4 linked regions of the Saccharomyces cerevisiae S288C genome follow. The gene in region 1 interacts genetically with each later gene. Each region holds a gene or a part of one and is shown in the gene's direction. Other genes may lie near its edges.

Evidence for each region.
Region 2: mutations in ERG2 (region 1) and ECM22 are lethal when combined (synthetic lethality), as found in Saccharomyces cerevisiae (3 studies listed by BioGRID).
Region 3: mutations in ERG2 (region 1) and ERG3 together harm fitness more than expected from each alone (negative genetic interaction), as found in Saccharomyces cerevisiae (5 studies listed by BioGRID, with this or other methods).
Region 4: of ERG2 (region 1) and ELO3, a mutation in one rescues a mutant of the other (synthetic rescue), as found in Saccharomyces cerevisiae (5 studies listed by BioGRID, with this or other methods).

What each region holds. Positions count from the first base shown.
Region 1 is NC_001145.3:665,820-668,705, forward strand, and holds ERG2 (C-8 sterol isomerase ERG2), read left to right. Parts: upstream 1-1,717; coding exon 1,718-2,386; downstream 2,387-2,886. Other genes in the region: DNA repair protein RAD14, read right to left, coding at 26-1,114, 1,199-1,225; TOM complex pore protein TOM40, read left to right, coding at 2,673-2,886. UniProt on the Saccharomyces cerevisiae protein: C-8 sterol isomerase; part of the third module of ergosterol biosynthesis pathway that includes the late steps of the pathway. ERG2 catalyzes the reaction which results in unsaturation at C-7 in the B ring of sterols and thus converts fecosterol to episterol.
Region 2 is NC_001144.5:597,561-606,769, reverse strand, and holds ECM22 (Ecm22p), read left to right. Parts: upstream 1-4,306; coding exon 4,307-6,751; downstream 6,752-9,209. Other genes in the region: BNA5 (kynureninase), read left to right, coding at 1-1,012; Rho family GTPase CDC42, read left to right, coding at 1,983-2,558.
Region 3 is NC_001144.5:249,270-257,163, forward strand, and holds ERG3 (C-5 sterol desaturase), read left to right. Parts: upstream 1-4,591; coding exon 4,592-5,689; downstream 5,690-7,894. Other genes in the region: OSW2 (Osw2p), read right to left, coding at 1-1,591, 1,679-1,709; SAGA complex subunit SPT8, read right to left, coding at 2,003-3,811; putative mannosidase MNL2, read left to right, coding at 6,037-7,894. UniProt on the Saccharomyces cerevisiae protein: C-5 sterol desaturase; part of the third module of ergosterol biosynthesis pathway that includes the late steps of the pathway. ERG3 catalyzes the introduction of a C-5 double bond in the B ring to produce 5-dehydroepisterol.
Region 4 is NC_001144.5:863,559-871,333, forward strand, and holds ELO3 (fatty acid elongase ELO3), read left to right. Parts: upstream 1-3,795; coding exon 3,796-4,833; downstream 4,834-7,775. Other genes in the region: Rho family guanine nucleotide exchange factor ROM2, read left to right, coding at 1-3,226; VID22 (Vid22p), read right to left, coding at 5,104-7,775.

The sequences.
Region 1 (2,886 bases):
ATATTCTTATATACATAACCAACATTTAAATGTCAATTTCTTCAGTTTCTAGCCCGCAGTCTGTACATCTTCTTCTTTGAATTTGATAACCGTCTTCATCAATACCTCCATCAACTGGATCACTAAAATGATGAATATGGGCTTTCCCATGCTTCTTTTCTCTTAATCTATTAGTATATTCTTGAGCTCTTGTTTTCAGTCGCATTTCCTTGATTTTCTTTTCGTATTTTTTCTCCCTTCTGTGAGCCTTTCCTTCTTCACGACGTTGCCATTCCTCATCTAAACCTTCTTCTCCACCCCATTTCTTGAACGCAAAGGCTTCCACTTCACATCTAACAAATAGTTGCATTCTTGCAAATGTCCCCGAATGAGGGTTCGGCTTTTCTAGTCTATGAAAGAGATCCTCATCATTCAATTCGGGGTCTGTTAAAAAGTAATCTTCCTTACATTCTGTTTTCGTCAGTAGTGCATACTTTTCTGGATGCTCCTTAGAACACTGTTTACAAACTTGTAACTTGAACACATCATGTAGCACAGGATCCATCTCAATATTAATATGACATTCAATACATTTCGGCGCCTTTGAAATATGCTCTGGAGGAGGTGCATTTTCGTACAGCATTTTCCGTTCAAGTTGTTCCTTTTTCCAGTCCTGTAGTGTCTTCTGCTTTTTAGATCCAAACTCAGATTCAAATTCTTGGTCATCGGTAAAGTCAGAATTTGGAAGCTTGTCCTTAGGGTTGATATAACCACCATTCAAGTTCTGCATGGTGGCAAAATCGTACTCAATGTAATCTTGTTTCCTTATGCTAGGTCTGATTCTATCCGTTGGCCTTTTGTCGAGTACCGACGCATCCCTTTTACTTCCATCAACTACTCCGCTACCATAAAGTGAAGTAGTGTTAGTGTTAGTGTTAGCAAGCGCAGACGGTTGTCCATTATGATTTGGCACATGTACTGCGGCTGCTGCATTATCATCCCGATTGCTGCCACTAGTAACTGCGAGAGGCCGGGTTTTTAAAGGTTCATTCCTACTTTCTATTCGATTCAATTGGTCGCTACTCAGTATTCCCCTTTTTCTTAACCGTTCTATTGCTAATTTCCTGTTAGCCTCCTGCACAGCTCATCTCATCGTTAAATTGTTAGTAAAAAGAAACCCACGGTTAAAATACAAACACAGAATCATTTTCACACATACTAGTTTGGCCTTTTGTTCGGGAGTCATAGCGTTACGTTCGATACCTTCACTACGAAGATCCAAACTCTTTTTCTAGTTCCGATAAATTCCTTACCTTCTTTTCACTTTCCTCTTTTCTCCCTACAACTTAGCAAACGTCAAACATGCTGTAGATAGAGCTTCTATAGAAGTACAGTTATTCAAACAAAAAAAAAAAAAAAAACAAGGGTTGTGGAGTATGCCACTAGCAGTCTGCTATGTTGATTCTGCTTATTATCAACGAAGTATCCCATTATGATCTTATGCAATGCACATTCCTGCCCTTACGCTCCAGGGCAGAATCGAACCACGGCCCTCGTATAAGCCGCAAGGAAAACTACCGGTGCTATCGTTCTCGTTTGGATGATTTTCAGTATGGAAGAATTTGGATAGATCTGCAGCGCCATGGTATATAAGAGAAAGAAGCGGTAACGTTTGACACTGGGTTCAGATCTCTCTTGTCGCTCAATCAAACTAAGACTAGCCCAGACCATTATAGCCATGAAGTTTTTCCCACTCCTTTTGTTGATTGGTGTTGTAGGCTACATTATGAACGTATTGTTCACTACCTGGTTGCCAACCAATTACATGTTCGATCCAAAAACTTTGAACGAAATATGTAACTCGGTGATTAGCAAACACAACGCAGCAGAAGGTTTATCCACTGAAGACCTGTTACAGGATGTCAGAGACGCACTTGCCTCTCATTACGGGGACGAATACATCAACAGGTACGTCAAAGAAGAATGGGTCTTCAACAATGCTGGTGGTGCGATGGGCCAAATGATCATCCTACACGCTTCCGTATCCGAGTACTTAATTCTATTCGGAACCGCTGTTGGTACTGAAGGGCACACAGGTGTTCACTTTGCTGACGACTATTTTACCATCTTACATGGTACGCAAATCGCAGCATTGCCATATGCCACTGAAGCCGAAGTTTACACTCCTGGTATGACTCATCACTTGAAGAAGGGATACGCCAAGCAATACAGCATGCCAGGTGGTTCCTTTGCCCTTGAATTGGCTCAAGGCTGGATTCCATGTATGTTGCCATTCGGGTTTTTGGACACTTTCTCCAGTACTCTTGATTTATACACTCTATATAGAACTGTCTACCTGACTGCCAGGGACATGGGTAAGAACTTGTTGCAAAACAAAAAGTTCTAAGCTGCCCGACCTCACGAAATCAGTCATGCGGTAGTCCATTATAATATAACTATTATTATTATTACTATTACTATTATTATTATTATTATTATTATCTATTGTTTATATTCTCTTTAGCTTTTTATCACCTACGACGACGGATATATTCGGCGTTTGCAAAAAGTGAAAAAGGCGTCTTTTGGTGGACATGAACTCAATCTTCAATTCTTTGAAAGCGGTGTATGCGTATAAGGCCTTTTAACCATCGTGCAAAACAATAAAAGACTACCAATAACCGACGTGAATCATGTCTGCACCAACTCCATTAGCAGAGGCCTCTCAAATTCCCACTATCCCGGCCCTTTCTCCTTTGACTGCGAAGCAATCCAAGGGGAATTTCTTCTCCTCAAACCCAATATCTAGCTTTGTTGTGGATACGTACAAACAATTGCATTCTCACAGACAATCTTTGGAGCTGGTCAATCCCGGTACCGTGGAAAACCTGAATAAGGAAGTCTCCC
Region 2 (9,209 bases), on another chromosome or scaffold:
ATTGTTAATTACGTTTTATAAACCTACTGAGAAAAGATTCAAGATCCTTTTTGAAAAGGGCTCCTTTCCATCAGACTATTATGCTTTCTACAACCAGTGCAAAATTCATGGAATTTCGGAACCTGAGAATGTTTTTATTCAGATCGAGCCACGCGAGGGAGAGACTTATATCAGAACTCAAGATATCCTGGATACCATAGAGGTAAATCAAGATGAATTGGCGCTGGTCTGTTTGTCAGGTGTTCAGTATTACACGGGGCAATATTTCGATATTGGCCGAATCACCTCATTTGCCCACCAATTCCCCGACATATTGGTTGGATGGGATTTAGCACACGCTGTAGGGAACGTCCCATTGCAACTTCATGATTGGGGTGTTGACTTTGCCTGTTGGTGTTCTTACAAGTACTTGAATGCCGGGCCTGGTGGAATTGGTGGCTTATTTGTCCACTCGAAGCATACTAAACCAGACCCTGCTAAGGAAAGTTTGCCAAGATTAGCTGGTTGGTGGGGCAATGATCCTGCTAAGCGATTTCAAATGCTGGAAGTATTCGAGCCGATTCCAGGAGCATTGGGATTCAGGCAATCTAATCCAAGCGTTATTGACACAGTGGCATTGAGAAGTTCATTGGAATTATTTGCGAAGTTTAATGGTATTAATGAAGTTCGTAAAAGATCGTTGTTGCTGACGAACTATATGACGGAACTGTTGGAAGCCTCCAAGTATTACAAACACCCTTTAAGGATCGAGAAATTACCATGTTTTTTTACAATATTAACTCCAACAAGCACAGATGAAGAACATGGCGCCCAATTGTCACTTTACTTCGATTCTGACACTGGAAAAGAGGATATTATGCCCAAAGTTTTCCAATATTTGCATGACCATGGTGTCATTGGCGATGCAAGAAGACCAAACGTAATTAGATTGGCTCCTGCTCCCTTATATAATACATTTTCAGATGTATACATTGCGGTGAATGCACTAAATGAGGCGATGGATAAGTTGTAGTCCTAGAGTGACCGCATCGCCTTCATCTTCTTTTGGATATTATATATGACGTAGTTTGAAATTCGTATACTTACTGATAGCGAACCTATAAATTTATACTTTCTTTCCAAGAATTAAAATAAATATCTGGGCCCGTGTATTACTTACCAGTTGCCGTGCATAGTCGTGAATCTTCTTTCATTTATCAACCTTCTTCCAATAATGAAGCTAACTTATCAGTGGTAGTACTGTTGAACGAAACAAGCCGGAACTCAAAAGGGTAATTTCGTGAAAAACAATCATCTACGGTATAAATAACAATTTAATTTACGTCTCTTTCGAAAATGCTCGTGTAGCTCAGTGGTTAGAGCTTCGTGCTTATAGCAACATTCGGTTTCCGAAGTTTCTGTGCCAAAGACCTTTCAAACAGGCCTTTAAAAGCAACGCGACCGTCGTGGGTTCAATCCCCACCTCGAGCACTTTCTCTTTTTTTTTTAAAAAAAGTTGCATTATTTCTATCAACTGTTGTAGCTACGTTACACCTAATTTTGTATTGTAGACTGTTAGATAATCCACATATACAGGTAAATACGGCACATTGTCTTCTAAACATCGCATTAAAGATGTCTTCCACCGTCGATTCAAGGGTCATTCAATACGGGTAATACTGCTTCCATTGGGCCCTTCCAAATGAAACAAGATACGGGAAAAAGTGATAAAAAAAAGCAAACAAGGTTGATTGATCGATGATAGACGCGATTCTTGGAAAAGGCAAGAGCAGCGTTTTGATAAATAGGTTCCAGGTGTACCGAGATATACTGATTATCCTTCTCTGTCATTCTTCACTTTTTGCAATAGGTTTCCTTTGTCGCAAAAAATTATATTCGTTATTTATTATACTATTCTATTTTCCTGAGGAGATAGGTTAACAAACGAATTAGAGAAGCAAAACTTATAAAACAAGAAATAAACGTATTAGCTCTTCCACAAAATGCAAACGCTAAAGTGTGTTGTTGTCGGTGATGGTGCTGTTGGGAAAACGTGCCTTCTAATCTCCTATACAACGAATCAATTTCCAGCCGACTATGTTCCAACAGTGTTCGATAACTATGCGGTGACTGTGATGATTGGTGATGAACCATATACGTTAGGTTTGTTTGATACGGCCGGTCAAGAAGATTACGATCGATTGAGACCCTTGTCATATCCTTCTACTGATGTATTTTTGGTTTGTTTCAGTGTTATTTCCCCACCCTCTTTTGAAAACGTTAAAGAAAAATGGTTCCCTGAAGTACATCACCATTGTCCAGGTGTACCATGCCTGGTCGTCGGTACGCAGATTGATCTAAGGGATGACAAGGTAATCATCGAGAAGTTGCAAAGACAAAGATTACGTCCGATTACATCAGAACAAGGTTCCAGGTTAGCAAGAGAACTGAAAGCAGTAAAATATGTCGAGTGTTCGGCACTAACACAACGCGGTTTGAAGAATGTATTCGATGAAGCTATCGTGGCCGCCTTGGAGCCTCCTGTTATCAAGAAAAGTAAAAAATGTGCAATTTTGTAGTCATATTAGTATATGCCCATCTTTTCTTAATCTATATCTAAAATTAACTTATATATACACCTTCCTATCCTTTTATTATCGTTGTATTTCATTTTTTCGCTTTGCTCAGAGTTGATTCTCTTTGTTTCTTGCGCCAGGATCATCCGTCTGTTCAAGGCGGAGTAGTGCAAAAAAGTCGAGCCGTCAAGCCCCAAACGTTCAATACTTCCATGTTCTTCAACGCTAAACGCGACATTTGCGAGTCCTACCACGTCTTCTCCGTTTACGGGCAAAAACACCTCTTAACATCAAAAATTTGGCTTTCGTGCTTTTTTCTGAAATATATTCGTTGCATAGACACGGTATGCATATGAAACATTCAGGCTAGCAATCAATACTTAAACCCTTTACGGGCGTGCATGATGTATCAGGAAACCAGTTTGAGAATGTCGCCCACCAAGCTCCATGGAAAGGCGCAAACCAATTACGCGGAACACAAAAATGGGCCTTTTTTTGATCGCCTCAAAGGCCGGACCAGGTTCGTTAAACGTCTGTAGAGGTGCCGAACAATTTTTGTCTAGAATAAATTTCCATTTTTCTGGCATTTAATTCTAGGCTTTCTGGTCTCTTTGTTCTTGCAGCTAGCCCATTGGGTGCTCTTCAAAATATGTCAATATCACCTTGATTTTGAAAATGCGCCCGTAAAATTGGACTTATGCTACAAATATATTCTACAGGAAAAGATCCGCAAGGTCTGCTTTAGCGTAAAAACGACCTCCCAGTATTTTATATAACCTCAGCCATTTCACTGAATGATACATAGTAGCATATATAGCTAGGCCTAAATGTATTTTTTTTTACAACTTTTTAGATCGCTGCGTGAAGGATGAAACTTCATATGAGTACGGACGTTTGAAAGGGTAGAGTGGCGCTAGCATAGAAATGCCATTTCTCGGAGGTGTCATCATTCGAAAAGAACTCAATTTTCAAGCGATTGAGATTCAAAGGCAAACCGATGCCTCCTCATTGGTCACATCTTCATGTAAACTGTGGCTGCTTTTTTTTCTAAATACTCTATGACTACAGCTTTCCTTTGTACAAACTCAAGTTTATTTAATCGTCTTTTTTAATGTTTATGTTCAACATACCCGAAACCACTACAAGACGGAAAATACTAGAGAAACATCAACAAATGAAAAAAAAAGGCTACAATCCTCGGATGAAACTGATAAAAACGAGCACAGTATATGCCGAGTCGTAGCATTTAACGTACTAACACTACTCGCCAAATCATAAGAGCTTCATGCTGACGTGTGTATCTATATCGCTTTTACAGATCCTGCAACCGACAGAGCCGAAAACGTAATTGGTGACTCGTTCCTCGTTCTTGTCGGAAAAATTTAAACGAGCGCGTTCGATAAACTCAACGAAGGCAAGTTTGAACAATAGATGTTGGTCGTAATCATTCGTTCTTCGACTTTTATAGCCTTTTTTTTAACTTAACGAACTCGTACTATCTAATAGTTTATTTCCCCTTGTTTTTTTTTGTTACGATTGGGGAAAAGCAAGGGTTCCCTGCGTCTACGATTACATCATCTACTAACTAGTCACCGAAATCGATTATCGTCGAAGGAGAAGCAACCAAGACCTCCACTTTTCAAAGGCACAAATAACATTTCGCCTTTACATAATATAGAGGAGTTAAGTCGACGGTTTTTTTCATTTAAGGTTTATATTTCGTTTATCCATAGATCTCCATCTAACATAACATGACATCCGATGATGGGAATGCTGGACAAGAAAGAGAGAAGGATGCTGAACTGATTGAGGTTGGGGGCAAGAAAGTGAGCAAGACTTCGACAGGGAAACGGAAGTTTCATAACAAGTCCAAGACCGGTTGCGACAATTGTAAAAGAAGAAGAGTAAAATGTGATGAAGGCAAACCATTTTGCAAGAAATGTACAAACATGAAATTGGACTGTGTTTACAGCCCTATTCAGCCAAGAAGAAGAAAAGATTCTTCGTCGTCAAAATTTGCATCAGCGGTCCACGATAGGGTAGGCAAGAAAAATCTGAGTGACAATGCCATCATGTTACAACAACAACAACAGCAACTTCATCATCAACAAGAACAGCAATTTCGTCAACAACAGCAAGTTCAGTTACAGCAGCAACTGTTGCCACATGTTGGTACTGATGAACAAAGCAATTCCCCTAATAGCGTTCCTCCATCCGTATCCAATAATATGGAGAATCTTTTGTTACCGCACCTATTAGCGAGTTTAGTGAATAACACCAGTAACAGTACCAACAGCAGTGCAAATGGAGCTGAAGCGCATAATAATATAACACAAACAGCTCCCAGTTCAATGATAAACAACAACCACCCAAACATGGCCCTACCAGGGAATTCGCCATTGAGTATACCGATAACACCTAGTTTTCAATCAACGGCCATGAATTTATCAAGTAGCCTTAACGGCTTACTCTCGCCTGGTAGGCTAAATTCGGTGACGAATGGATTGCAGCAGCCACAACTTCAACAACAAAATCAGCAAATTCCACAACAACAAGGAACACAGTCCCCCTTCAGCAATATTCCCTTCGACCAGCTAGCGCAATTGAACAAGATGGGCTTGAACTTCAATATGAAGAGCTTCAATACATTATTTCCATACGGTGCTGCAAATGGAATGGCCTCTGAGTTTCAAGAGTTATTTGGCCTCGGAAAGTTTGCTACATCTAATAACAGAGCAATCAAAGTTAGCACAGCAGAGGAGGCACTCGCAAATATGCAACAGGAACAGGAGGACAAAAACAAGCAATTTACGAAGAACCCATTGGATAATACTAAGACGGATGCTGTTAATTCGGGCAATAACCCCCTTAACGGAAACGAAAATAAAGTTACTGCTTCTGATATACTATCTCATAACAAAAACTTGATAATCGACAATACCGGTCTCACAATCAGTCCCCCACACACGTTGTCCAAACCTTCCATAGATCAAAACATTGCGTCCCCTTCAACGGGAGTATCCAATGTAACCTCTACAAAGTCATTGTTATCTATACCGGACAACAGGACCGCTTTGGGAAATTCTCCTACTTTGAAGACGTCCCCAATGGGTGACCTGTTATCCAACTCGGAGGCATTGTCTCCACGTTCATCAAATTCTCACACTCAACAACAATCTTCTCCCCATTCAAACGCTTCATCAGCCTCACGACTAGTCCCTGAATTAGTCGGGCTGTCTAGAAAATCAAATTTGAATTTGATAGATCTAAAACTTTTTCATCACTATTGTACTGACGTATGGCATACCATAACCGAAGCAGGCATTTCTGGTCCTGAAGTATGGAGCACTTATATTCCGGATTTGGCTTTTCATTTTCCCTTCTTGATGCATACAATTTTGGCTTTTAGCGCCACTCATTTGTCCAGAACTGAAGCCGGCTTGGATAACTACGTGTCTAGTCATCGTTTAGAAGCGTTGAGACTGTTAAGAGAGGCTGTGCTCGAAATTTCAGATGATAACACAGATGCTTTGGTGGCTAGTGCTCTAATATTAATCCTAGATTCATTGGCAAATGCTTCAAGCAGCTCACCAACGGCATGGATTTTCCATGTTAAAGGCGCCGTAACTATACTAACTGCTGTATGGCCCCTGTCGGAGACATCCAAGTTTTATAACTTAATTTCTGTTGACTTGAGTGATTTGGGTGAAGCTGTAATCAACCAAAGTAATCATAATAATGATAATGACAATAGCAATAATGGTGATGGAAATAACAATAATACGATATCGGAACTCGTATGCTTTGACGAAAGTATAGCAGATTTATATCCCGTAGAAATTGATTCACCGTACTTGATAACTTTAGCATATTTGGACAAACTGCATCGCGAAAAAAATCAATTAGATTTTATGTTGAGAGTCTTCTCATTTCCTGCTCTTTTGGATAGGACTTTTTTAGCATTATTAATGACAGGCGACCTAGGGGCCATGAGAATAATGAGGTCTTACTATACATTATTGAGAGGTTATACCACAGAAATAAAGGACAAAGTGTGGTTCTTGGATAGCGTATCACAGGTTTTACCACAGGATGTTGATGAGTATAGTGGAGGTGGTGGTATGCATATGATGCTGGATTTCTTAGGAGGTGGGTTACCTTCTATGACCACTACAAACTTTTCAGCTTTTATGTAATTTATCAAAATATAAACTCTTTTCTTTCGATGGGTCAGTGCTACAGAATGTGAACCTCATCGATGAATAACTACATTATGTTACTTCCGAATATACTGGCCATTTTGAGGAATCCACAAAAGGAAATGGATACTTATACATAGTAGTATTATTATTTCTTCTTTCGTTTTTATATGTTGTCAAGTGATCATTAATAATAACATGAGTTGTTATGGTAACAATTTAAATGTTTACATAGTATATTGAGGTACACCCGGTATACGTTTATGTGTAAATGCACTAATCACAGGATAAAAACTTAAGCGAGCAATTCAGACAATGCTGAGCTGAGTTAAAGATATATTGATTGAACATAATGTGGTAGCTACTTATATATATGAGGAATACGGGTCACCACACTAAATACATAGTAACTACCAAAGGCACTTTTATGTTAATAATAAATAATAATGAGCAAATCTAATGCTTTCTTGAAAAATAGGTGGATTTTATGGGTGAATAATTGAATAATTGTTGGGATTCTATTGTTAAAGGCACTAATAGTGGGCATACGTTAATGTGCCAGGAGAATATAGCAACATTGAAGGGAAATGACATCTCTACAGAGCATCACTATTTTTTCTTCTTCAATTTAATTGTTGTTACTCATTATCCTATTACATTATCGATCATTGCATTTCAGCTTCCATTAAATTCGATGACTGTTCCTCAATTTTTGACGTCATCTTCTTACGCCGTATATGATAAAATAAATACTTGTACATAGGTGATTTTTGTCCGTATCTCAGCAGTTTTATATTTTTCTCTTATATTGCATGAAAAGATGGATATTCATTCTTCATTAATACTACCAATTAACGGCATTTCATTATCCATTACAATTATTTTTTATTCTCGCTTTCAAACTATTTACTGACGTCTAGTCTGACCGAAAACCAAAGAGTTCACATCTATTCTGAGAAATGGGTGAATGTTGAGATAATTGTTGGGATTCCATTGTTGATAAAGGCTATAATATTAGGTATACAGAATATACTAGAAGTTCTCCTCAAGGATTTAGGAATCCATAAAAGGGAATCTGCAATTCTACACAATTCTATAAATATTATTATCATCATTTTATATGTTTATATTCATTGATCCTATTACATTATCAATCCTTGCGTTTCAGCTTCCACTAATTTAGATGACTATTTCTCATCATTTGCGTCATCTTCTAACACCGTATATGATAATATACTAGTAATGTAAATACTAGTTAGTAGATGATAGTTGATTTCTATTCCAACATACCACCCATAATGTAATAGATCTAATGAATCCATTTGTTAGTTAATAGTTTAAATGTTTTTATCGGAAGAGGTTTTGTCATCACATCAGCAATGTTCTTCTTGGTCTCGATGTAGTATACGTATAGATTATTACCTGATACTTCATCTCTAAGTCTCATTGCCTTTGTGCCAAAAAATCTGTTTCTAAATTTCTCTTCATTTGTAGACTTAATTATACTGATCGTTGATCTACTATCAGTAAGTAAGCCTTTAATAATTGGTTTCTTGTTAAGTTCTTGCACAAGGTGACTGAGGTTATTCAATAGCGGAATAGCTTCACTGACTGCGTGTATTTCTGCTTCTGTAGTTGAAGTGCATGTTAACGAAGCCTTTGTCGACTTTCCTCCAATCACTTTTCCGTTGAGTAGGAAAATGTTACCAATTTGTGACTTGTAATATGGTTGGTTACCATATGAAGCATCGCTTATTGCGACTAGTTTATTATCTGGCTCGGTAGGTTTGTTTTTGTGCCATATCAGTTGTTTATCTCTAGTGTCCCACATGAATTGTATTAACTCATATGTCATGTCTAAAACTTGCCTAGAGGGGAATAGTATATGTTGAGCAAGTGTGTTGATGTAGTATAGTAAGTCAAATCTAAATTTATATCCAACATATGAAGCTAGACCAATCAACTTTTGCATTTCATGTACCTTCTCTTTGTATTCATCTTCATCTATTTCTAGTTCATCCTGGTCTATATAAAGACCTGGTTGACCTGGAGCGCTAAGTTTTCTTCCTTTTGGATTCAAAGGTACGTTTAATTTGGGTATTTTCTCAGTTAATGAGTTTTCCATACCTAATTTCATGTATTTACCTCTTTGATATTTGATTTCTAAGCCAAGTATGTCGTACTGAATTTCGTTATCACTTTCACCCAGATTTATTATCTTTGTATCGTATTGTTTCTTGAGTGTTGTTATGATTTTCTTATTTGCATTTAAGTCTTTGCTGAACAATATCATATCATCAACGAATAAGCAAATTGTTACTTGACTATTCTTAAATACGCATGACCATCCACGAACTTCTTCCATACCACACTGTTTTATCAGGTATGATTTGATAGTTTCGTACCAGTTCGCTCCACTTTGTTTCAATCCATAATGTGATTTCTTCAAACGTAT
Region 3 (7,894 bases), on another chromosome or scaffold:
ACCACTCCAAATTTTTCTAGAGGCTTTGTGGGCTTTGTTGAGCTTCTTTTGTCAATTCCAAGGCAAGAAAAGTCGTCTTCATCGGCCAAATATTCATCTTCAAATGTATGTATCGTATCATCAGGCAAGTGTTTATCATCGTAGCCTGTATCTGCTTTAGTTGGAGATTTTACTCGTTTTTGACCACCAGATGTATTTGCGTCGCAATTGCTAATGTATTCTGCACCTAAATACAACTTTTCTAAGTCCGCTGGTAAAGCTGGATCATTGACACCCAGTGGACTTGTCATCGTGAATCGTTGTGTTAAACTAATGAAAGAACCTTCCTTTACATTTTTGTCCACTCTGTTTTTGCCTTTATCTTGATCCTCGTTATCACCATCGGTAAAATCTTGGCCGCTATTAATTCCTGAAGCAACGTTAATACCACCACCAATCCTGCTGTCCAACATCGACAAGGCATGCTCACACCTTCCACCATTTATTGATAGCCCACTTAGTGTCAGTAACCTCGTATAGAATCCATATAGGAAATTTAAATTTGAACACGAAACACCATACTTTTTGGCCAAAATGATGGGCTGATGCAAAAGAATTTGAGCAGGATATTCAAATCGGTGGTAGAAACAATAAGGCTCAAACGGTAAGGATAAATATTCCGGATGTTCGTTTGCCGTAGAGTTGATAAGTTGCAGTTTTTTACCTTTGCAATATTCTACGATTTTCCCAAAATTAATCTCTTCTTCACCTTGTGATTTTACTAGCAAAAACCTTGCAATTTTGCTTCCACATTGTGCAAAGCAAATTCCAAGTAACTCTTTCACCAGATCTTTAAAAATAATTTCTGTGGATTTGTTTTCTAACATTTTCTCATAATCAAATTGTTCATAGATGATAGAAAGGATGTTAAGTGAGATTTTAGGAATAAGCAATTCCCACATTTTCAATGCCATTTGTTTTGGGTCCAAAATTAATTTAGATTTCATCCATTTCGCAACGGTCAATCCAAGAAGGAACCTGCGAACATTTGAACCCTTAATCCCTTGCAATTCTAACGAAGCTGCTTTCGTGTTTTCCAGAATGGTTGGACTTGCTTCAAAATTAGCATCACAATAAGTTAATCCCAAAGTTATTACACATTGATCGTCGTTGACCAATGCATATGATCCAAGCGATAACTGTCTGCATTCAACCTCACACGAAATGGAAATAACACACTTGCACTTCCCTCCAAAATAACTTATGGCTATGGGCTCCAGTTCGCAACCAAAATCAGTGCTAATAAGCACAGTCGTATTGTCGTTCGTGTAATCTGACAACAATCGACAAGTTGTTTCGAAAGACTGTAAGGAAATTGCAGACACTAACACAATGTCAATTGAATACGTATTTGCACCGTTATGTTTTAATTTGTGGTGCAGCTCTTTAATATCCTTAGTGAGAATGTTTGGCGTGTAGAAATTGGCGCCTAGTTTTGTCGATTTCCAGGCAACTAACTCGTCACTAGACACATATTGCGAGACCAGTATTATAAAAGAGTTGCTCAAACTTAGTCTCCATCCTAGAAATTGTGCTGCTGGTGTTTCTCCAACTGTAAAAAAAAGGAAATTTAAATTTACATTTATATGTTAGTAAATTTTTGTTCGAATGTCTGTTTTCTTAAACTTCTTTGCCATACCTATTAAGCACGTTAATTGGTTTTCTTCCATAACTAATGCGAGTTCTTGCCTTCAAAAAAAGAAAGAAAGGCTTAGGAATACAATTTGAACTAGTATTTGTATCGTGCGTCTATGTGCTTTTGTTAATATGAAGCGTATTATTAACTCCATTCATTTTACTTTTCATTCAAATTTTGATAGTATAATATGCCTTTGTCTGCCCGGACCCTGAATTACTGACACAAAATGAAGGGATCAGTGGCCCTGAAAAAAAAAAAAAAAAAATAAACGGCGCGCGGAGTAATTATGATTATGATTATGGTTATGATTATTATTACAACTCACTATTCTAAGTCTATATCGTAAATAAGGGTCGTGTCCGTAGAATTCCCCTGCCAGCCTCTGTTGCCACTTGTGCTTATTATAAATCTTGAAGTGGGGTCGAGGTATAAGTTTGATATAATACCACCGTGATGGCCCGGCACGATGAGGAACGGCACTTTAGAACTCTTTGTAGTCGAATTCGAAGCATCTACTGCAATTTCAACGTTGTACAATCTGATATTATCCCGCGATGCACATAGTAAATGCTTGTTATTAGGCATGGCTTTAACACAAGAGACAGGCCCTGAAATAGAAGGCAGTTTCAAATTATGGATAGGTTTCGAGGGCATCTTCAAGTCAAACTGCTCCACACAGGCATTCCTTCTCCCTGCATACACATGATCACCATCTACACCCCAACATGCGGACAAACACCACGGTGGGACGCCTGCACCTCTCTCCAGAGACAATGCTGGCGACTGCGTCATGCGTCGGTCCCAAATATGCACGGAACCGTTCAACCCTGAGGTCATAAAAACGGATTCATCATAGACTATGTTCAAAGATTCTTCAGATATCTGTTCTTTGTTCTCTTCACCATTAGAACCATCCCCCGTCTCGACGGGTTCGTTGCCAGCATCTTGCTTTTCGTCTTCGTCTTCATCACCAAACAGAGAATCCATATCGTCATCTGCATTTTCATTCTCTTTACCACTGTTGACGTTACCGGACACATCCACGGACGAGTACAGCGGCCGCATTTCCAAAGATGACAATTCAGACCTTGATTTTTTAAACTCATTAACTATGTCACCCGTCTGCAAATCCCATTCCAAAAGACGCTTATCCCAGGAACCACTCAAAAACCTGTCCTCTTGACCGTTTAATCTCAGTATGTTAACGATTTGGGTATGTCCATTCCTGCCCTTAAAATAGTGCGCAATGCTCCCCTCCATGTAGCGAACGCCCTGCATGGTAATCCCACCATTCTGTAGCCCGCTCAGTATAAAGAGGCATTCGCTTTGGACTTCCAAAGAATGAACGGGGCTAACTTTGGGCTCGTAATCTGTCTTATTAGCGGAGAGTTTCATTTCTGATTTTTTCTGCGGGATCTCATTTTCCCAGTACGACTGCAAGATACCCGCGTTCTGAATAGACTCAGCCAACGAATGCTTCTGCAGGATAGTTAGAGAAAGTTTCCCCTCAAGCGTGTTCAGCAAGTCGTACTTCCTTATGTATCCATCGCTACCGCCCAAAAACAGGTACTTGAGACCCCTGGACACGGCCAACGCATTGACGTGCGTCTGGATGGGTATGGCTGCCGTGGGGTAGATATTGTACGAATCCGCAATCTGTGCGGCATTCAACATGTGCTTATAGTACTCATAAACCTCTCCATTAGCAGAGGCTTCGTGTGTAGAGGAAGATGCTTCCCTGGACCCCACTCCTCCATCAACATCGCTCAATTTCACATCCTCGGATCCAATCTTAGTAACAGCATCGCCACTATCGCCTGCACCGCCAGCACCAGCAGCAGCAGCCTTTTGCTCATCATGCTGGTGCTCATTCGTCGGTGTAGCAGTCTTATCCATTCTTGCGGCGTCGTCCTCACCATCGTCGTCCTCCTGTTCATCGTCGTCCTCTCGTTCGTCCTCGTCATCATCATCGTCCTCATCATCATCATCGTCATCCTCTTCATCTTCACCACCGTCATCATTCCCCTCGAGGTCCTGCTTTGAGTCGTTTTCCAGCCCACTCAGCATCTCTTCGTCATCCTCCTCGTCATCCACCACCTGGTTGTTAATTAGAATATCGTCAACCTCGTCCATTACGTAAAAGAAGAAAAAAAAAAAAACTGAGCCTTTAGTACACTACAGTTACTGCTACAGCCTTTTACAGCCCAGCATCTGGCACCACTACGCTATAATATATGATGCGTCTATTATGCTAGAATCCTTCCTGAAAGGGCATTCTGGAAGCCCTACGTACAGAGTGACAATATATTAGGGCATCCATAAAAATAGATTAGGGCAGCTCTGCCATTTTTTTCATAGCCGAAAGAAGAAAAACTGAAAAAAAAAATGATACGAAAAAACCGCGAAACGACGCCTTTTGTTGCGATTGTCGGGCATCGCAAGTTACGACGCGTTGTCCCTTGCATCGCTGCCGTGTGGCACGACCCACTGCGGCCTAAACGACCGAGATCGGTGCCCGGGGCAGACCACCCGAAAACTCCCGGGCATTATTTCGGTCGTTTAGTTGCGCCCCAGGGCAACCGGGGTGTATACGAGGCCGATGGCTGCGATAAACGAAAAATTCAGGCTCGTATAAGTGGCACAATAGAAGGTGAAGAAGAACAGCAGGTGCATTGAAACAAGAGGTTCAGCAGCGATCGGGTATTGTTGTTGCTGCTATTATGTAACGGTCGAAAGAAACATCGCGGTATATATTAGAGGCGGATTTCTATCTTTCTTATCAATTCGTTTTTTCATTCACTTGTTCATTCATTCTTTACATTTGTCTTGTTCTTTGAAGTGGTTGCAGAGGAGGTCAGTTTGTTGCATTTGTAAAAAAAGATAATAAGAAAAATATTCGTCTAGATTTGAGATATGGATTTGGTCTTAGAAGTCGCTGACCATTATGTCTTAGACGACTTGTACGCTAAAGTTCTGCCCGCTTCGTTGGCAGCTAATATTCCTGTCAAGTGGCAGAAATTGCTAGGGTTGAACAGTGGGTTCAGCAATTCTACGATTTTGCAGGAGACTTTGAACTCCAAGAATGCCGTCAAAGAATGTAGAAGGTTCTACGGGCAGGTGCCATTCCTGTTTGATATGTCGACGACGTCTTTTGCATCGCTATTGCCTCGTTCCAGCATCTTGAGAGAATTCCTCTCACTATGGGTTATTGTTACGATCTTTGGTTTACTACTTTACTTATTCACGGCTAGTCTCAGCTACGTGTTTGTGTTTGACAAGTCGATTTTCAACCATCCTCGTTACTTGAAAAACCAAATGGCAATGGAAATCAAGTTGGCAGTCAGTGCTATCCCATGGATGTCGATGTTGACCGTTCCATGGTTTGTTATGGAATTGAACGGCCATTCTAAACTATACATGAAGATTGATTATGAAAACCACGGTGTAAGGAAGCTCATTATCGAGTACTTCACTTTCATCTTTTTCACTGATTGCGGTGTGTATTTAGCGCACAGATGGTTGCATTGGCCAAGGGTCTACCGTGCTCTGCACAAGCCTCATCACAAGTGGCTGGTCTGCACACCTTTCGCATCTCATTCTTTCCATCCTGTAGACGGGTTTTTGCAATCCATCTCGTACCACATCTACCCATTGATTCTGCCATTACACAAGGTTTCTTATTTGATTCTGTTCACTTTTGTTAACTTTTGGACTGTTATGATTCATGACGGTCAATACCTATCAAACAATCCTGCCGTCAACGGTACTGCCTGCCACACGGTTCACCATCTATATTTCAACTACAACTACGGTCAATTCACCACTCTGTGGGACAGACTAGGGGGTTCTTACCGTAGACCAGATGACTCATTGTTTGATCCTAAGTTAAGAGATGCTAAGGAGACCTGGGACGCTCAAGTTAAGGAAGTTGAACATTTCATCAAGGAGGTCGAAGGTGATGATAATGATAGAATCTATGAAAACGACCCAAATACCAAGAAGAACAACTGAATACGGTTGCCTTGTTTGTCTCATCTTTTTTCTTTCTTTCACGTTCAAGAACTTTCACACAACGAATAACGTTTATATATTTATATACACATACATGTTTTAAGATACGCATATCATTATGATGTACACCTCACGTTAGTGCAATATGCGCTATTCGTATATTAAATTTTTGCGTTCATTTAATGGCTCTTTTTCCTATTCTAGTGAAAAAAAAAACAGAAAATCGAAGAGCTGGAAAATTTAAGAACAGGCAAATAGGAAGCTGGAAGCTTTAAAATGCCCAAGATTTCGGTGAAGCGCAAGTGTTAACTAGAAAAAGGCCGCCACTACTCTATAAGCAAAACCTTATGTCCATAGCGCGATTAGTATACTCTCTTTTCAGAAGAGTACGATCGGTTCTCTTACTTTTCATTACCATATCGCTATTGTTTTACTATACGTTCCAGAATGAAATCGATATCTTGAATTCGTACGCTTTAAACGACTCACTACCGTCCATAAACAACTATGAGCACAATACAGAAGGTTCTTCGAAACTGGATCCTCCAGACCTATCGTCAACCGGTTCTGACCGAATAGCCACCGACAAGGAAAATGGCAACGTTGCAGTGGATTTGTCAGATCCAGCTACATTGAGAGAAAAAAACAAGTACTTTCCCTTGCTGTTAAAGGGATCGTCTCACCAGATTGGTTCGAATTTACCAATTTCGTCTCTTTTGACATATAAGGAAAAGTATCCCGTCTTGTTCGAATACTCATCACCTTCCTTAACTTCTATAAGCCAGAATGACGTTCATAAGATACAGCCGGCAATGCAATTGCCACCAGATGTTGATATGATAAAACAGATAAAGGACATTTTCATGAAATCATGGAACCAAGAGCAGTTGCTGCTGAAAAGTAACCTCAGAAGGGAATCTACTTGGCCCATAGATCTAATTGATTCTCTAGATACATTGTATCTATGTGGCGAGACGAAACTTTTTCAAGATTCTGTTAATATAATAGAAGATTTTGACTTTCGAGTACCTCCGTTAGCAATGGAAGTTATTGATATTCCTGACATCACTACCCGTGTCCTAGAAGGGTTACTGTCTGCATACGAATTATCTATGGATAAACGATTACTTAACAAAGCAAAACATGTTGCAGATTTCATATTAAGATCATTTGATACCCCTAATAGAATTCCTATTTTGAAATATTTTTGGAAATCTGATCTGAGAAATCGATTTCCAGACCGTACTGTTCCATCAGGTCAATTGACTACTATGGCACTCGCGTTTATCAGATTGTCACAGTTAACCCGTTTGAATAAGTATTTTGATGCTGTTGAAAGAGTTTTCACCACTATACGTCAATCATATAACGAATTTGATATGGAGTTTATGCTGCCTGACGTCGTTGATGCCTCTGGTTGCCAGTTATTAACTCAAGAGGAAATTGAGAATGGTGCACACCTAAAGGGATCCAGCATCATGAAAAGTATCAATGAAAATTTCAAGTTCGTACACTGTCAGCAGTTAGGGAAATTCTTAAATCCTCCAATAGATGATAATAGCCTCCAAGAACAATCTCAATACCAGGCTTATAGAATTAATGAAAAAACAGTACCCATTCTAGAAAATCTATTCAAAATCAATGACCTCTTCCAATCTTCTTATGATATCCTGGACGGCTCAAGTAAAAATGCTAATGCTGCAACGATGGACCCCAGTATTGGTTCAGAGGTAGAAGCAGTCGACGAAATAATTGAGAAAAGAAACTTTAAAGACGGTACTAAAAAAGATTCGACAAAAAACACCGTAGGTGATAAATCATTAATAGACTCGCAAACGTTTTTAACAAATTCCATCAGTAACATTTTTAAATTCATGACTTTTCGACCCATGTTGCCCAAGCAAACGGAAAACAAAAAGTTTAATTTTCTGAATTCCATTCTAACAAAATCTCAATTCATGCCCACGACTAATGAGCTAGATGTCACGATAAGAAAATCTTACGATGTCTCGTTATACTCATGCAGACTTGGCGGCATTCTAGGTTTAAGTTCACGTGTTCCCCACCGAGGCGGTGTCAACACGAAATATATTTTACCATCGTCACTATTGGAAATGAGCGAAATAATAACAGAAAGTTGTTTTATGCTAATGGAGGAGTTCGACGGGCTGCTCCCTCAAAAATTCGAGTTGGACCCTTGCACTG
Region 4 (7,775 bases), on another chromosome or scaffold:
ACATTCTATATCATCTAGATCGATGTCGTTGAACTCATCTACTCTAAAAAATATTGCATCATCTTTTCAATCGAAGACTTCTAACAGCAGGAAAGCTACGCAAAAATATGATATAACTTCCAACCCATTCTCAGATCCTCATCATCATCATCATCATCATCACTCTTCAAACAGTCACAGTAGCCTAAATAATGTCCACGGGTCTGGAAACTCCTCAAGTGTTATGGGAAGCTCGTCTAATATTGGGTTGGGTCTTAAAACGAGAGTTTCTTCCACCTCATTAGCTTTAAAAAGATACACTTCGGTTTCAGGAACTTCTCTATCTTCTCCACGTAGAAGTAGTATGACACCTTTGTCGGCATCTAGACCTGTTATGAGCGCTTCATCAAAAAAACCTCAGGTATATCCAGCTTTGTTGTCAAGAGTCGCCACAAAATTTAAAAGTTCGATACAACTCGGGGAACATAAGAAGGATGGATTAGTTTACCGTGACGCATTTACAGGGCAGCAGGCAGTCGATGTCATCTGTGCTATCATTAGAACTTCTGATAGAAACTTAGCCTTGTTATTTGGTAGATCACTAGATGCACAAAAGCTGTTCCATGATGTGGTATACGAGCACAGGTTAAGAGATTCACCACATGAAGTTTACGAATTTACAGATAACTCAAGATTTACAGGAACAGGTTCCACAAACGCCCATGATCCACTGATGCTACTCCCAAACTCATCATCTTTTAATTCCGGGAACCACTCTTATCCGAATTCCGGAATGGTTCCATCAAGTTCAACTTCATCTTTGAATAGTGATCAGGCAACTTTGACAGGGTCGAGGCTACATATGAGTAGTTCATTGTCCCAGCAAAAGAACCCTGCAGCCATTCATAACGTCAATGGTGTGTTTACATTACTGGCGGAATGCTATTCCCCTACGTGCACAAGAGACGCTTTGTGTTACTCTATTTCGTGTCCAAGACGTCTTGAGCAACAAGCAAGGTTAAATCTGAAACCAAATGGCGGCCTGAAACGTAATATATCAATGGCATTGGATGATGATGACGAAGAAAAGCCATCTTGGACAAGTTCCGTATCTAAAGAGGATTGGGAAAACTTACCAAAAAAGGAAATAAAAAGACAAGAGGCTATTTATGAAGTTTATATCACGGAGAAGAACTTTGTAAAATCATTAGAAATTACAAGAGACACATTCATGAAGACTTTGGCTGAAACAAATATTATTTCAGCAGATATTAGAAAAAATTTCATCAAGCATGTTTTTGCACATATAAACGATATCTATTCAGTGAATAGACGTTTTTTGAAGGCTTTAACTGATAGGCAAAGAAGTTCACCAGTTGTGAGAGGAATTGGGGACATTGTTTTAAGATTCATTCCATTTTTTGAACCATTTGTTTCATATGTCGCTTCAAGACCATATGCGAAGTACTTGATTGAAACCCAAAGATCAGTCAATCCCTATTTTGCTAGATTTGATGACGATATGATGAGCTCCTCCTTACGTCATGGTATTGATTCGTTTTTATCTCAAGGTGTTTCAAGACCAGGTCGATATATGCTATTGGTCAAAGAAATCATGAAATCTACTGACCCCGAGAAGGACAAAAGTGATTATGAAGATTTAAGCAAAGCCATGGATGCATTAAGGGATTTTATGAAAAGGATTGATCAAGCAAGTGGTGCTGCACAAGATAGACATGATGTAAAATTGTTGAAACAAAAGATTCTTTTCAAAAACGAATACGTTAATTTAGGATTAAATGACGAAAGGAGAAAAATTAAACATGAAGGTATACTATCACGGAAGGAGTTGTCAAAATCGGACGGAACAGTTGTTGGTGACATACAATTTTATCTTCTAGATAATATGCTCTTATTTTTAAAGGCCAAAGCAGTTAATAAATGGCACCAGCATAAGGTATTCCAAAGGCCCATTCCATTGCCATTGTTATTTGCATGTCCAGGTGAAGATATGCCTGCGTTGAGGAAATATATTGGAGACCACCCAGATTGTTCAGGAACTGTAATTCAACCAGAATACAACACGAGTAATCCTAAAAACGCAATAACTTTCTTATACTACGGTGCCAAGCAGAGATATCAAGTTACATTATATGCTGCGCAATACGCTGGATTGCAAACGCTTTTGGAAAAAATAAAGCAAGGACAAGCAGCTATTATAAGCAAAACGGAGATGTTCAATGTAACGAAAATGAGCGATAGGTTCTTCGATTACACCAACAAAATTAACAGTGTTACTTCCTGTGATGGGGGTAGAAAACTTCTGATTGCAACGAACTCTGGATTGTATATGAGCAACATTAAAAGACAGCAGAATAAAGATCATAGACATAAAAGCTCTGCTTTTTTTTCAACTCCAATCCAACTAGTACAAAGAAATAATATCACTCAAATTGCTGTATTAGAAGAATTCAAATCAATCATACTTTTAATTGATAAAAAATTATACAGTTGTCCGCTGTCATTAATCGAAGCAGAAGGTAATGGGACATCTTTCTTCAAAAAGCATCACAAGGAACTGATCAATCATGTGAGTTTCTTCGCAGAAGGAGATTGCAATGGTAAGAGATTAATCGTGACTGCACACAGTTCATCGCATTCAATTAAGTACTTCGAGCATGAACATCCATTATTGGCCGAAAAAAATGGTAGTGGTAGCGGTAACAAAAAAAGTCTCAAGAAAAAAATCACCGAGGTTATTTTTGATTCTGAACCTGTCTCTATTTCATTTCTCAAGGCCAACCTATGCATTGGCTGTAAAAAGGGTTTTCAGATCGTTAGCATTTCACAGAATGCTCATGAATCCTTGTTAGATCCGGCCGATACATCATTAGAGTTTGCACTAAGGGATACTTTGAAACCAATGGCAATCTATCGTGTGGGAAATATGTTTTTGCTGTGTTACACAGAATTTGCCTTCTTTGTCAATAATCAGGGTTGGAGAAAGAAAGAATCGCATATTATTCATTGGGAGGGAGAGCCCCAAAAATTTGCAATTTGGTACCCGTACATCTTGGCATTCGACAGCAACTTCATTGAGATCAGAAAGATTGAAACTGGCGAATTAATTCGTTGCGTCCTTGCTGATAAGATTCGACTTCTACAAACAAGTACTCAAGAAATCCTGTACTGCTACGAGGATTATCGCGGGTATGATACAGTTGCGTCGTTAGATTTCTGGGGTTAAGATAGCAACGTATATAGACTTTCCTTATTTTCTTTAGAATAAAAAGCATAACTAAAGTTGTAAAAGGAGCAGAATTATGAATAATAAACATTGATGACAATAGTGGAAAACGACATAAATAATAATTTTATAATATAATAATGATAATTCACCGTCAGAGGGATTTGTATGCAAATGATTGATGACGCGAGAAAAAAAAACGCGAAATTTTTCTTCCCAAAGCTTCGAAGTTTTTATTCCGTCCACAAAGTGAAAAATTTTCAGAAAATTTTCCAGACTGTGAATAAACAAAAGGTTGGCTTACGCATTTGGCTTGTCTTTTTTTTTTTTCACAGGTTCTTAGTAAATAATTGTATAAAATATTTATCTGGAGTCTTCTGTTTGTTGTTTAGCCTTGTTTGAAGTTTTATTTAACTTATTACCCCAGTTAGGTACTGTGTATTTTCCGCATATCTGGTGTCTTTTTATTTGGTCATTGATTGGTTTTTGACAGCTCTTCACTCGCTTCAAGCTTACTTCTAGTTTATTTATTCGGCTTTTTTCCGTTTGTTTACGAAACATAAACAGTCATGAACACTACCACATCTACTGTTATAGCAGCAGTTGCCGACCAGTTCCAGTCTTTGAACTCTTCTTCTTCATGTTTCTTGAAGGTTCATGTTCCTTCCATTGAGAACCCATTCGGTATTGAATTATGGCCAATTTTCTCCAAAGTGTTTGAATACTTTAGTGGCTATCCAGCTGAGCAATTCGAGTTTATTCACAATAAGACTTTCTTGGCTAACGGGTATCATGCTGTTAGTATTATTATCGTTTATTACATTATTATCTTTGGTGGCCAAGCTATCTTACGCGCCTTGAACGCCTCTCCATTAAAGTTTAAATTGCTTTTCGAGATACACAACTTGTTTTTGACTTCTATTTCTCTAGTTTTATGGTTGCTGATGTTAGAACAGTTGGTTCCTATGGTTTATCACAACGGTCTATTCTGGTCTATCTGCTCTAAGGAAGCCTTCGCACCAAAATTAGTTACTCTTTACTATTTGAACTATTTGACCAAATTCGTAGAATTGATTGACACTGTGTTTTTAGTTTTGAGAAGAAAGAAGTTATTGTTTTTGCACACTTACCATCACGGTGCCACCGCTTTGTTGTGCTACACTCAATTAATTGGTCGTACTTCTGTTGAATGGGTAGTTATCCTACTAAACTTGGGTGTTCACGTTATCATGTACTGGTACTACTTCTTGAGTTCATGTGGTATTAGAGTTTGGTGGAAGCAATGGGTCACTAGATTCCAAATTATTCAATTTTTGATTGACTTGGTATTTGTTTACTTTGCTACCTATACATTCTATGCTCACAAATACTTGGACGGTATTTTACCAAACAAGGGTACTTGTTATGGTACTCAGGCTGCTGCTGCTTATGGGTATTTGATTCTAACATCTTATTTGCTTTTGTTTATTTCCTTCTACATCCAATCTTACAAGAAAGGTGGTAAAAAGACAGTCAAGAAGGAATCTGAAGTTTCCGGCTCCGTTGCATCCGGTTCTTCTACTGGTGTCAAGACCTCTAACACCAAGGTCTCTTCCAGGAAAGCTTAAATAGGAAGCGAGAATTTTTGACAGCGAATGAAAAAGAAAAAAATTAAATGTTAACATTTTCTTTATATTAAATATGTACGATAAATGAAATCATTATTATAGAAATGATAGATTATTGGCTTGGTGTTTTTCCCATTTTGATTAATCATTTCCTTAGCTGCCCAAAGAATTGCACGCTTACAGTGAGGAGTAGTGATACATTACAATTATAAAATAAAATTATATAGCAGCTAAAATTTAAAACAAACAGACTTTGTTCCTTTGTATGTCCTATGGAAGATACTGACTTGCAGTTTGTAAAGTGTCCAAGTCGTAATCCACTTTACTTGCCACGAATTGATCATTGAATAATTTAATTTTAATAATCTCTTGAGTTAAATCGGGATGTACTCTGGGAATGAAGTCATTTAAAAATGAGTACTCTCCCCTAATGGAGGAAGATGACTGACATTGCATTATCTTGAACAAAATTCTAATTATCGGCCCAGCATCATTATCTAAGTATTGGGACCAGAACGCGTTACACACAGGAACATGGATATCAAGTAACTCTTCAATGAAGTTCATTGGTTGTTCTAGCTCTCCAATAATAGAGTCCTCTGTTATTATTCTCTTCTTGAAACGGCCACTATCTCTAATGAAATTGCTTTGTTCACAATACGACCTGTAAGATATGGGTACGATGGAGTTTACTGTACTCAAGTAATCATATAAGTCCTCTTGAATGATTTGTAAAAAGATACTATCTATTTCCTTTGATATGGTAGAGTCCGATAAATGATGGGTATCGCTAAGAGAACCAAATGATAGGTTATTATTGCTATTCTGTGGTTGTTGTTCCGGTAATACAGAATTTTCTCCACCAGTAGGATCTATATCTATTCTTGATGCGGGCGTATTTGAATTCGAGTGGTTGTCGTTGTCGTTATCATGTTCGTTATCATTATTGTCGCTGTTGTTGCCGCTTCTATTGTTGATGTTGTTCGTCTGATTATCAGTGTGAATGTTCATGTTGCTATGATTGGAAGTATTATGACTGTTGTTAACGTTGCCTATTGTGTGTAAATTCAAAAACCTTTTCAATAAACTGAAAATTGATGTAGAAAGTTTGTCGACTATTTCAGAAAGTGAAATGGTATGAAAAGAATATTCCAGGACTTCTCTTTCGAATAAAATCGCAGGACACAAGAACATTGCTAAAAGGTTCATATCGTCTGAAAATAAAATGGTTTTGAATTCTTGAATTTTAGACAAAAATGTTTCAAATGGTGCAATTAACCGTTGAAATTGTAGGCTGCCCAAGGTGGACAACAGATGCTTTTCAATAGACATTATGGCGAACAAAACATAGGTAAAGTTTAAGCTTTTGGAAGAAGTAAAGAACTTTAGTATTCTATTGATGGAATTCAAAGTAATTAATAAATAGTCTATTATTTGAAAGTCGATTTCGTTGAATTTTTCAATTTGGATAGAAGATTGATATTCTTCTATTATGGGACGAAGGTTCAAAAAAGTTTGCAGTGAAACGGTGGCGGTAGAGTAACGGGATAAATCGAATTTCGAACAAACGAATTCGAAGCCAAATTTTTCACACAATGAACGGAATTTATCTAACTGCCACGAATTAGATTGTAAATCATCCAAAAAAGAATTGATTCTGGAAAAAATGGAATTCGAAATATCTATATTTGACAAATCAATTAGAGAGTCCAATAAAGTCAAAGGTTCTTTGGAGAATGATGATTGTCTCGGATGCGTAATATCGGCGGATTTAGGCGTACCGAACAATGGCAATATCGCAGAATTTATTATGGAAATAATGCAATTGTGATAATAGTTTTTAGCATTCGTATACGTATTCGGGAAAAAGGGTTGGCTATCCATTACGTTTAGTAGATCTACTATTTGAGATCTTGGTAGAGTGATAGAAATCACAGTATTTTGTAAACCAGGTAATTCTTGTGAGATTTTGAGCAGTTGAGCTGGAATAGATAGTTTGGGGTCATTGTTATATTCATGTAAGTTTTGGATGATAAGGGGTAAAGTCTTTACTTGGGAATGAAAATCATCATAGTACTGAATACTCAATATAGATATCGTGTTATTCCAAACGGAGTGGCTTAGAGAGAAAAAATTGATTTTTTGCATTTCAAATAATTGGTTCTTCAACCTGTTTGATAACTGATTAGATCTATCGGTTGGGTCCATTAGTAAGTAGTTTTTGTCGATAATCAACGACAAATCGGAATTGTTTCGCAAAGCTGTCCTTTGAATGATTCTATCGAGATTATATGCGATGGACCTGATAGCATTCAGAATTAAGTCATGGTCAATGAAGCTTAGTGAGTTGGCGTTCTGATTGATCAAAAGGCGTACGGCAGTGTTGTCTACGAACGACAGAGGCAAGTTTTCTGATGCAATTATGATCGCAAGCGACTGCACAAGAGGCAAGGCCATTTCTTTTTCCCTAGTTCTCTTCAAAAAGTCCTCGTCTATTTCCAGCAGGTTAGCAATGCTGTTCGTTGTGGCGCTACCGCCTTGATGGTTCTTCAAAGGTGGTCTGACCATAAAAGTAGAACCTGCTTCTACGCCCGTCCATCCGCTATAGTAATTGGCATTCGGGTCTATCTTATGCGTGCTCCACAAATGAGTTTGCGAGGCTTCCGCCATGCTTATGCTGTTTCCTTGCCGTCTTATTATCACACCGCAGTACTTGCATTTTACTGCCTCCAGCATCTTGTCTACACCCAGAAAATGGCCCAAGTAGCGTGACCTGTCTCTGGTAAGCATATATGCGGGCACCCATTCGCTACCATCCTCTGCTAACGACTCCCTTTCCTCATCTCTATCTCCATCTGTATCTGTATCCGTATTTGTGGCCGTCGTAGCCGCCGTCGCCGACGATACAGTTGAATTCATGGGAGGCAACACCAATCCTCTTT